Saccharomyces cerevisiae S288C: one gene and its partner. The gene in region 1 interacts genetically with each later gene. Each region holds a gene or a part of one and is shown in the gene's direction. Other genes may lie near its edges.

What was found.
Region 2: mutations in IRC7 (region 1) and COX9 together harm fitness more than expected from each alone (negative genetic interaction), as found in Saccharomyces cerevisiae (one large-scale study listed by BioGRID).

Annotation. Positions count from the first base shown.
Region 1 is NC_001138.5:260,410-268,955, forward strand, and holds IRC7 (cysteine-S-conjugate beta-lyase IRC7), read left to right. Parts: upstream 1-3,794; coding exon 3,795-4,817; downstream 4,818-8,546.
Region 2 is NC_001136.10:333,100-336,153, reverse strand, and holds COX9 (cytochrome c oxidase subunit VIIa), read left to right. Parts: upstream 1-1,757; coding exon 1,758-1,937; downstream 1,938-3,054. Other genes in the region: isocitrate dehydrogenase (NADP(+)) IDP1, read right to left, coding at 33-1,319; CBS1 (Cbs1p), read left to right, coding at 2,344-3,033. UniProt on the Saccharomyces cerevisiae protein: Component of the cytochrome c oxidase, the last enzyme in the mitochondrial electron transport chain which drives oxidative phosphorylation.

The DNA of each region.
Region 1 (8,546 bases):
TTAAAACAGACTCAGTAGGCAAAAACTTCAATCAATAGTACCGGGAAGATGACATTCCGGTCTAAGTGGTATTATACACTTATAGTAAAGTCACGTCAACCTTTGTTACTTTTCTTAATTGATTATATACGCACTCTTCTCAATATTTGATTTCTTCATCGAAAAGATCTACACGAAGTTTTTATCATGTGTTAGCGTGATGGAAAAGATCTGTGCACGTTTAATTAGAATTGCAAAAGCTTCAATGGGTTTGATTGAGATTTTTATTTTCAATTCACTCATCTTGATGTTCACCACCAAGCCTACATCGAAACTTTGAAATACAGGAAAGTTGCAGGAGGCTTTATTGGTTGAATTGAAAAAGAAAGGAAGAAAAACGTAATGGTAAAATAAAACTCGACTATGGCGCAACCGATAGAGAGTTTAGTGGCATTAGAAATTTTAAAAGAAGCTTTAAACTACAAAGTGTTCTTCTGAATCTGAATAAGGTCACTTACATAGAAACCTACTTACCTCAAAAGCGTAATTCCGAAAGGCAAAAGAAAAACTTTTGTAGAATCTTCAGCTGCTAGAAGTTCAAATAGAAGACAAATTACGGACTTGTTGCAGTATATGCCAAGCTACAGAAGAAATTATATTTCTTAATACGTACAGAAGGTATGAAACGTTAGTTTACTCACAGAAGATACCCTGGCTTTTCTTTTATTAATACATGGAGTTGCAAAAAACAAGGGAAAGGAAAATCAATCAAATTAGAATTAAGGTTTTTTTTGGACAGTGCAGCGTCAATGCGCACGTAATGGCTTCGAAGAAAAAAAGAAGGCAAATACAATGAAGCTGAGATCTTGTTTTATCATGAGGGGAAATAAATTGGAAGCATTGAAGTTGTTGGAATGAAACTCTAAAATATCATCTGTTTAGTAGTATCGTGTTACTAGTACATTATCACATACAGTGTAAGAAAATGACATTAGGTATGAGAAACAGTCATCAAATCTAATGGAAGCGAAATTCAAGGGTTGGTGATGTAATAGGATAATGAAACATATAAAACGGAAGTAAAAATAATCGTAATATTACAAGGAGACCAAACAAACAGTCGAGAGAAGCGTATGCACAATCATGCAAGAAAAATTTTCTGGAAGAATTTATTTAATCTTAAATTACAAATCTTAGTAGTAATGGTCACTTCTGATAGTTTCGAAAAAGGAAAGAGGAGATGACTATTGAGTCAAATTTTTTTGACGGAAACTTAGCGACCGAAAAATATATATGATAATAAGAAAACGAATGGCATACAATGATTAGTTTCAAATATTTCACGCGCAAAGAAAGAATTCTACTACCGGAGTGTGCCCTTCTTGTACTTTATTATCAGACTGTGTCTCTCTAATTGCGTGTTGTCCGCGGAATAATGCTCTAATTTAAAAAATCGACATATTCTGACTTGTATGGCGCTTTGCATTGGTGTTTATATGTTAATAACCCCTAATCATACTCTATATGAATACTTTCAAATTTACCAACACAATAAAATCTTCATATTCTCATGCATGTTTTGCCCTGTATCACTAAATAATACATACTTTACCGAAGCTGGTTGTATTTCGTGTATATCATAGCCAATGATGCCGTTATAATGTCCGAAATATTATCGCTTAATGAAGGGAAGCAGCTAACAAATATGACAAATACAGCAATTTCTTACACCGGTAACTAATGATTATACAAACAAGACTTGATTTTTTTTATGGCCTGTAAGAATATATCATAACGTGAGTTCTAGATATTTAAAGTTCTTTATGCATATTCTAGTCTACGTATATAGGAGTTCCAAAAAAAAAAAAAATTAAATGCACGTTATTCTTGACGCTAGTGTAAGTTTTTATGTACTTTACCTGCTAGCTTCGTATTTCTGTCTTGGGATATTCTTGTCCCTATTATGAGAATGTACAATATGCAAAATAAAGGTAAAAGATTTGAAAAAGAGAAAATACCCAAATATCAACAAAACTACCTCTATAGGACCTGTCTCATGGTCTTGACAACTTTATGCGAAATAAGAACACGATCGTTATATCACTTAACGCTTGAGATATATACAGAATGTAGTACATGTCGGCCCTTCTACGGATTTATTACCATGTGTATACTAGAATTGATACCGGCAACCCATAGTGACTTTTAACAGGGCAATTGGATTTGCATAAAAGTATATACAGTAATAATAATATTTCCTGATGAGAAAGGTGGAAAGTATCGAGTTATGTGTACCTTCAATACCAATCTCTACCTCTCGTTAATAGTGCCACAATGCTATGGATTCTAAGCAATTTAAACCGCATAGCTATTAGTGTAGACTTCCCACTGTATTTGAATGACACGTTGCCTTCATTCCTTGTTGCGCTGAACTTTCACGTCAGATATATATACATAAGTGCAATAGAGGCCTAGGCTAATCTGCAAATTTCTCATAGATGTACACCGCCTGTGCCGTACGGCATCGCTATCTTCTGAAAGGAAACTGTAGTAAATTTACCAAAATATCTCCGAATAAAAAGAAGAGGAACATCTTTTAATGAATTATAGAGTACAAAAGAATCATTTAAAAGAGAGGGCGAGTGAAAACATGAAAAGAAACGTTACTAACTTAATTGACCTTAAAGTAGCCTCACCAGTTAAGTGCATTATTGATCATTCCATGAATAACCATTTTTAAAGACTAAGATGCTGAGTTGTGTTATATAGAGAGAAAAAAACGTACTTTCAGTTTCCATATGAGGTGGAGCGCAGGTCATAGGTATGCCGGCTCATTGTTTTCTATTTTAAAAAGTAAAAAATATGCTGCTAAAGGAACACGTGAGAAATTACATTCTCCCTAGGTCTGCGATAACGCGGTAATATTACACTGCCGCCGCCTTCCATGCCTTTGGAAAGCAGACAATGATGCTAGGCGGCGCCCAGCAGTATAAACTTTTCTTGCTTATAACCAGAACCTCTATCACAAAATTAGAAACTGCGATACTATGGGTCAGATCGACACATAGGGAGCACTATTAGGCGCAAGGCGTATACATAGGCATTGCGTGTTCAAAAATTGTCGTATGAGAAAAGTTCCAAACTTTCCACCATTACTCACCAACAACTTACACCAGCCCGGATTTAAGATTTAGCTTCCGAGAATATTGTGACTCAGCCACTGGTCTCTTGAATGTTGCGTGTAGCTTGATTAAGATTATGGCATAACCGTTTTTTTTACTTGGCAAGAGTGAACGTCCTTTTACTCCAAAAGGCTCCTGATGAAACTGGAGAGTCTCTTTGTTCTGAAATTTTTAAAGTTTAGCACACCATATTCACGCTCGAGGTGAACCCAAGTTTTCCTGAAAAATGTGCCATGAACCTGAAAAAAAGAATTATTCTCGAAAATAAAAAAGGCAATCAAGATCGGAAAGATAAGCATTTTTTTTCAATCCGTATCTAACATTCATAAAGTGATAAAAAAATTGATAACGATTTTATTGTCGCCTCTTGTTTTGAGTATATTTTTTTAACGTTCTTTTTCGGCATTCAAATTCCGTATAATCAACTCAATTGTAAGGCGCCGTAGCATCCAAATAATGTTGAAAGTGCCAATTTGCTCATCAGTGCTAAATATTCCTTGATAAAAATATAGAAGACAAGGACATATAAAAAGAAAGACTGCTCTAGTGTTGGGACACCACAATGAAAAAATACTTAACGTGTTTCGAAACTGTGAATATAAAATTCCAGCAAAAACCAAAATATTCACTACAATGATTGATCGTACCGAGTTATCGAAGTTTGGTATTACTACGCAACTGTCTGTTATTGGACGTAATCCAGATGAACAAAGTGGCTTTGTTAATCCACCTTTGTATAAGGGGTCAACCATCATTCTTAAAAAACTTAGTGATTTAGAACAAAGGAAAGGAAGATTTTACGGGACAGCAGGTTCTCCAACTATTGACAATTTAGAAAATGCCTGGACGCATTTAACCGGCGGTGCTGGGACAGTGCTATCAGCTTCTGGGCTTGGTTCTATCTCTTTGGCGCTATTGGCCCTTTCGAAAGCTGGTGATCATATCTTGATGACTGATAGTGTCTACGTGCCAACACGTATGCTATGTGATGGTTTATTGGCCAAGTTCGGTGTTGAAACGGATTATTATGACCCATCAATAGGGAAGGATATAGAAAAACTAGTTAAGCCAAATACAACCGTCATTTTCCTCGAAAGCCCGGGTTCTGGGACCATGGAAGTACAGGATATTCCAGCTTTGGTCTCTGTTGCCAAAAAGCATGGGATAAAGACAATTCTAGACAACACATGGGCAACGCCACTCTTTTTTGATGCTCATGCGCATGGTATCGATATTTCGGTAGAAGCTGGGACAAAATATTTGGGTGGTCATTCAGATCTTCTTATTGGTCTGGCCTCCGCAAATGAAGAATGTTGGCCGCTATTACGGTCAACTTATGATGCAATGGCAATGTTACCAGGTGCCGAGGACTGTCAATTAGCATTGCGAGGAATGCGTACATTGCACTTAAGATTGAAAGAGGTAGAAAGAAAAGCCCTGGATTTGGCTGCTTGGCTCGGAAATCGAGATGAGGTTGAAAAAGTGCTTCACCCCGCCTTTGAAGATTGTCCCGGACATGAATACTGGGTTCGTGACTACAAAGGTTCTTCAGGCTTATTTTCCATTGTCCTTAAAAATGGGTTCACAAGAGCTGGTCTGGAGAAAATGGTAGAAGGGATGAAAGTTTTGCAATTGGGATTTTCATGGGGTGGCTAGAAAAGCTTCAACATGGCCTTACAAAGGTTTTGCACTAAGAATACAAGTGGGTCTCGAAGAATTTGAAGATTTAAAAAGGGATTTTGAGTTAGGCTTTGAACGTCTCGCAGAAGAAATTTCTTTGAATCCTTTACAAATCTGATTTTTTTTCCTTTTTTTTTTGGATTTCCAAGCAATGTTGTTTGAGAAATGAATGAAATTTTTGACTATAGCTTGTCTTAGGCAGGCTGGAGTAGACAACCATCTAGTAGCCAATGTTTGCCCAGTTAATATATGGTTCAATTTTCTAGCTGTATCATATTATGGATGATGAAGCAGATAATCTTTCTTTTTTCTGTATGTCTGATTGTAATAAAGAGGCTTACCATATTGTGAATGCATTTCAATGACACTGCATAATGAAGTCATTGTATTTAGAAAAGTAATAATTTTGTATTGTATAAAGATAGAAAAAACGTATATCGTACTTATTCAGCGGAAATGATTCTGCTTTATCTACTTGCGTTCCTGAATATAATATTTGTGAACCAGGCTTGAGCTTGACACTACAGATTTTTTAGTTCGATTTCATTCAGTAGAGAAAGGCATATCAATATGACATGTGATCTCACTCCGCGGCTAAATGCTAGCAATAAAAAGAATACCGTAATAGAGATGCAGCAAAATAACCACTGGTGTTTAAGAAATAATATGATTACGTCAGTAACCGAAGAGCCCGTACGCACTCTGCTACCATAGACTATGTATATTGTTACCTATTGTAAATAGCTATGGTTACTCTAAGTACGTATGGTGCTATGCATCTCGGTGAACGGATGCAATTATGAAAGTGTAGGTCAGAACATCATCGGTGGTTTTGTCGTGTAAAAAAGGTTATAAGGAAAATTATACTCACATGATTTTATTCATCATCGTCTGTGTATCGCTTCAATTAACATTTTGAAAAAGAGATTACTTTATATGACGTTATGTATATCTTTCAACTTAAATAACCTTAGCTGGCAAAATAAAGAATAAGATAAGGGCCAAGAAGAACGCTAATACTCGTTTTTTTTCAACTACAAAACAACTAGTTGGATAATTTTGAAACAACAAAGTAGAAGTTGTACATATATTTTTGCGCATATGGCTCTGAAATATCGTATTTTTCAAAAGCCCGATACAAAGCCGTCAGCAATACCCATAGTTAAAGATTCCTTGATAACCTATAGCTTCCGTAGACAACAACACAAATTTACCACCTACTTTTAACTCACCCATGTTTTTCAGTTTATCAATGAATCTAATAAACGTGGCTTACGTAACAGCTCCGCATGGACTTGAATTTACTCCTAGCGAGCCTAGTGTTTTAATTGCTTGCATACAATCTTCATCGGAAACTAAACAGGAAATAGATGGCCCCTTTCTGTAGTAGAAGAAATGCTGTTGCTGAAATCCTCGGACAGTTCAACTCATCCATGATTGTTCTAGAGGTTCCTAGATCAGATGAAGCCTTTTGTAACACCAATGACTTATTGACAGTGTAAGCGGTATCTGGTTCAACCGAGAAGACTTTCGTATTCGATTTATGCGACCTGTAATATGTTATCACTCCTTGAGCAAAAGAATCAGCCCCACAAGGGACAAATATTACCGCAGGATCGAATGGTATTTCGCTACACAAGGTAGTGTAACCATAAGAAATCCAGTTAGGAATTTCATCATAACCTATGAATGAAAAATCTTGAATAAGTTGATTTTTTTGTCGGATCGCTACTACAAAACTCTAAAGAACTTTTTATTGCATAATCATAGTTACCTTTAATTTTGATAACTTCTGCTCCCTTTTCTGATCTGATGTTCTCACGCTCTGTTCTAGAACATTCCATGGAGTAAATATTGTAGACTTTAAGCCTAGGATTTTTGCCATGTATGCAACTGCTCTACCATCATTACCATCTGTAACAGCCGCTAGCATCAAAGACGGGTGTTGGAATTTGACAATTTGCTTCAATGTATCCAAGGAAGTTTTAGGTAATGGCAGGCTAAATCTTCCAATCAAACAGCAAAATACACCTCAAGACGCCCCAAGAATTTTGAATGAAGGCGAGCTGAATCCCGAACTTTGTTCTTTAATGTACAATTTAATACCAAAATGATTATCCAACTTGATTAGCTTCGATGACTCATACAGATCCATACCAATATCAACTTCACGGATAACTTTTTCAACTCTTTTAAATTCTTCAACATCATTTTTCGATCAAACTGCGTCAGGTTTTACATATAGATCAAGCGTTGTCGGTTTATACTACGATGTCATTTACGATCTGCTGCCAACAGAAGAAACATTACGCAGTACCTTGGAAAAATCTAGGCAATTTATAGACATGAATCTCCTATCGTTCTTAAAACAATGTATTTCCTGTCGTTGTCTCGATTCTCTTTTTTGCTATTCTGAAGGACAGGTCCATTTATCATCCAGAATTCTAATCCCGAATTTAAGATATCGTAACAGTAACAACATCATATCCAAGCACCGAAGATTCATTGCTCTATATTCCTTGTCTTCGAATAAGGAAGATACCGCGAAGAGACTCTTTAGGAGTCGGGCTTGACTCCCTGCCAAAGCAGCTATTCCTGTATAACACGCGATATTTTATCTCCTTGTCGTCATGTGAAAGTCAAACAGCGCACGTTTGTTTGATGAAGCAGCAACTCTCCTCTTACTGCTTTTGCAGAATTTTGTGAGAAGCTCTCTTCTCTTGGAACTAACCTAGCCATATGGCTTTCTGCCCTCTTTCCGTCAACATTACAAGATAAAGATATCGGTATAATTTAAAGATTCGACCTTTACGCCCTACATGGCTAAAATTACAATGCCAAAATTATCATGAATTCACTTTGTTGACCCGGAATTACAATACAATGCTTCTAAAAAGAGATTTCTTTTAAATTTGTCAAGGGAAGTCATTTATCTCCACACAAACGCACACCGAAATATATATATATATTTAAATTTCCTCATTCTTTGTTGACAGGTTGATTTGTAACTAGAAATCAAATAATCGGGATGCGCAATACCCTGTAGTAGTCGATTCAAAAACTGATTAAAAAATCACTGACATTTAGCATAAGCGACTGAAAAAATGTACTGATTTCTTCTCGAGTCATATATACTATTACATGAGTTCGAGTATGGTGTTGTTTTCTTTAGAATGTCTTATCAAGACCGACAATTCATACAGGTCGAGATATGTAAAGTCTACATGCCGAGCTAGGATGAGAAAAAAAGTATACAAATTGCAGGCAAATAAACACACCAAAAGATACTAAAAAAATCTTTTAAAGTTTTGGTTAGTTATTGGGGATCATCATGCATTTAACGACAACAGAGAAAAGAAAAACAAAAAAAAACAATACAATGTAAAAAGCAGTACTATGTAGGAATAAATCCTGCCTCAATTGCAGAAAAAAAAAGGTATGCGTAATCTAAATAAGATACTATGTATTGATATTTCATATCACTAACTTCTCTCAGATCAAATATGATTTAAAGGAGCGATTTCTGGACTGTACAAAAAAAAGAAATAGACTACTTACATCCTATGAAGGTCAGAGAATAAAACGCTTTTCCGTTAAAAAGATCCACCATATGGAAGAAAAATACGAGAGTTAAAATGCTATTTAAAAGTGCTAAAGGAATCCCCAGAGACCTCAGCTGAGATAAGTAATATCGTTGATGAATTA
Region 2 (3,054 bases), on another chromosome or scaffold:
AAAAAGTGGTAGATTGGGCTACGTAAATTCGATTACTCGATCGACTTGATTTCTTTTTGTAGTCTTTTTTCAACGGCATCCAAAAATTCTTCTGTGGTAACATAAGCAGATCTTTCGTTGTTACCGCAAGCCAAAGCCAAGTCCTTCGTCATGATACCGTCTTGCTGAACTGTGTTCAAAGTGGCGGATTCCAAAATATTGGCAAATTTACACAAAGCAGGAGTATTGTCCAATTCACCTCTCTTCAATAGACCTCTCGACCACGCGAAAATGGATGCAATGGAGTTTGTAGAAGTTTCTTCACCCTTTTGGTACTTTCTATAATGTCTTGTCACGGTACCATGAGCAGCTTCACTTTCGAAAGTTTTACCGTCTGGTGTAACTAAGATAGAAGTCATCAAACCTAAGGAGCCAAATCCTTGAGCGACGATGTCAGATTGGACATCACCGTCATAGTTCTTTAGCGCCATGATAAAGCCACCTTTAGATTTTATCATTTGAGCGACCATATCATCAATTAAACGGTGTTCATAGTGGATCCCTAGTTGTTCGAATTTGGATTTATATTGAGCTTCATAAACTTCTTGGAAAATGTCTTTGAACCGACCGTCATATTTCTTCAAAATAGTGTTCTTGGTTGACAAGAAAAGATTTAGCTTTTTGTCAATGGCCAGCTTGAAAGACGAATGAGCAAACCCTTCGATGGATTCGTCAGTATTGTACATGGCCATGGCCACACCACTGCCCTTGTAGTCATACACTTTCAAAGTTTGTGGTTGAGCAGTCGTAGGGTCGGATGGCTTGTAGACCAGTTCCAAAGATCCTGGGCCTGGGATCAGTGTGTCCGTAGCTTTATATTGATCACCGTGGGCGTGTCTTCCAATAATGATTGGTTTTTCCCAACGTGGGACCAGTCTAGGAATTCTAGGAATCACAATGGGCTCTCTGAACACTGTACCGCCGAGAATGTTTCTGATGGTACCATTAGGAGATTTCCACATCTTGTGCAGGTTGAATTCCTTCACACGAGCTTCATCAGGAGTGATGGTGGCACATTTGATACCAACACCATACTTCTTGATCGCCTCAGCAGCATCCTGAGTAATCTTGTCGGAGGTGGCGTCACGAGATTCGACAGATAAGTCGTAGTACTTCAAATCTACGTCCAAGTAGGGTAGAATCAATTTCTTCTTGATCTTATCCCAAATGATACGGGTCATTTCATCACCGTCCAACTCGACAACGGGTTGTTTGACCTTAATCTTACTGAAAGCAGCAAGGCGAGAGGTGGAAAATAATCTTCTAGATAACATACTCATGCTGGGCGATCTTCCTTGTGCGTCTGTTGTCTCACAATTGCTTGAAGGAAGATTTCATAAGATCATATGAGTCCCTCTTTATATGGGCAAGTGGAATTATGTGAGTCAAAATCCGCGCGTGACCCGTAAAGCGTTATCAGAAGGTGCAAACGGTGCTATTTAGCTCATAAAAGGAATGATTCAAGCTCTTTTGGATTGTAAGACACCTTTATTTAGTCCAAGATCATTGCAGACCCTTGTTATGGTCTTTAGCAGAGTCCTCCTCTATATCTCTTCATTTACTGCAACCTGATTGGCCCGCTACCACGATGCCCGCTTTGTTCCTGTGGTATTAAAAGAATCGATGAAAGAGACTCTTATCTTCAGGGAAAATTAGGACCGAGAATTAGAGCAAGCAAGATATTTGCAAACTACTAACTACAAGCGACTTACACAGACATGACTATTGCTCCAATTACTGGTACGATCAAGAGAAGAGTCATCATGGACATCGTCCTCGGGTTCTCCCTCGGGGGTGTCATGGCCTCTTACTGGTGGTGGGGATTCCACATGGATAAGATTAACAAGAGAGAGAAGTTCTACGCAGAGCTAGCTGAGAGGAAAAAGCAAGAGAACTGACCGAACCTGACCACTATTGTTTTTCGCATTATATTCTTATTCCTATTTATTTATCTTTTATTTTTTTTCTGTGCTGGCCTCGATTGATTACTTTTGCAAGAGTTTGTAGGGAAGGAAAACAGACAAGTCATTCTTTTCTTTCTTTTTGACCTTTATCATAATTTTCTATTTGTATAATTTGAAAAAATAGTTTTACATATTTATGTAGTGTCAAACTAAAATAAAAACAAACTTAAAAAAAGAGTTATAGAAAATGTATGTGGAGAATAAGACAGGCAGACCTTGAGTGAACTAGGAATAGTACAATATTACCTTTAGGAGGTGCCACGTACTACCCCTTTGCTTCTATTCTTCTATGGTTTCTTTATAGCAGGATAAAAGAATAAATCAGATAATGAATCTCGACATGTTGAGGACAAAAGTGTTTGCAACTACTGTTGCTCGAATATCTGGGATTCGCAGGTATATTCCCATCAGAACTATAAACACGGTGACGAAAAAGAATATTAGTAAGATAGAAAAACTGTGTGAAGTCCTTGAAGTTAATCCTGACGGATATAAAGGAAAGGAACGCATACCGACTAAAGAACTAACTAAACTGCTATATACCACAAGCAGGAATATGTTGGTACGAGTACCAATGACTGGAGACTTGAGCACAGGAAATACATTTGAAACAAGAAACGAAACTTTACAAAAATTGGGTGAACAGCTCATTCACTTGGAAATTAATAAGATGCTTACAATAACATTTACGAATTTCAATCAGTTTAATATAATGAACAAAAACTTCAATTACATTCATAACTTAGATCGAGCTCGAGTAGTGAACATGGACTCGATAAGCTGGCTTATCAAGAATTCGTTGAAAATTAACCAATTAGCTCATTTGCGAATACCTGCCAATTTGCCGAAGGAAATGGGATTAACTTCCAGCTCTAATGATTTTCAGAACTTGAACGATTGGAAAGTGATCTTATCCTTTATTGGTTACCTGAAATTACTCGAAATTAAAAACGATAACAAAAAATTCATTGAATCAATTATAAAAACTATATGCATACCTCTAATTAATTACCATTTGCGTAAATCATAGTACAAAAGAAACGATGCCTTT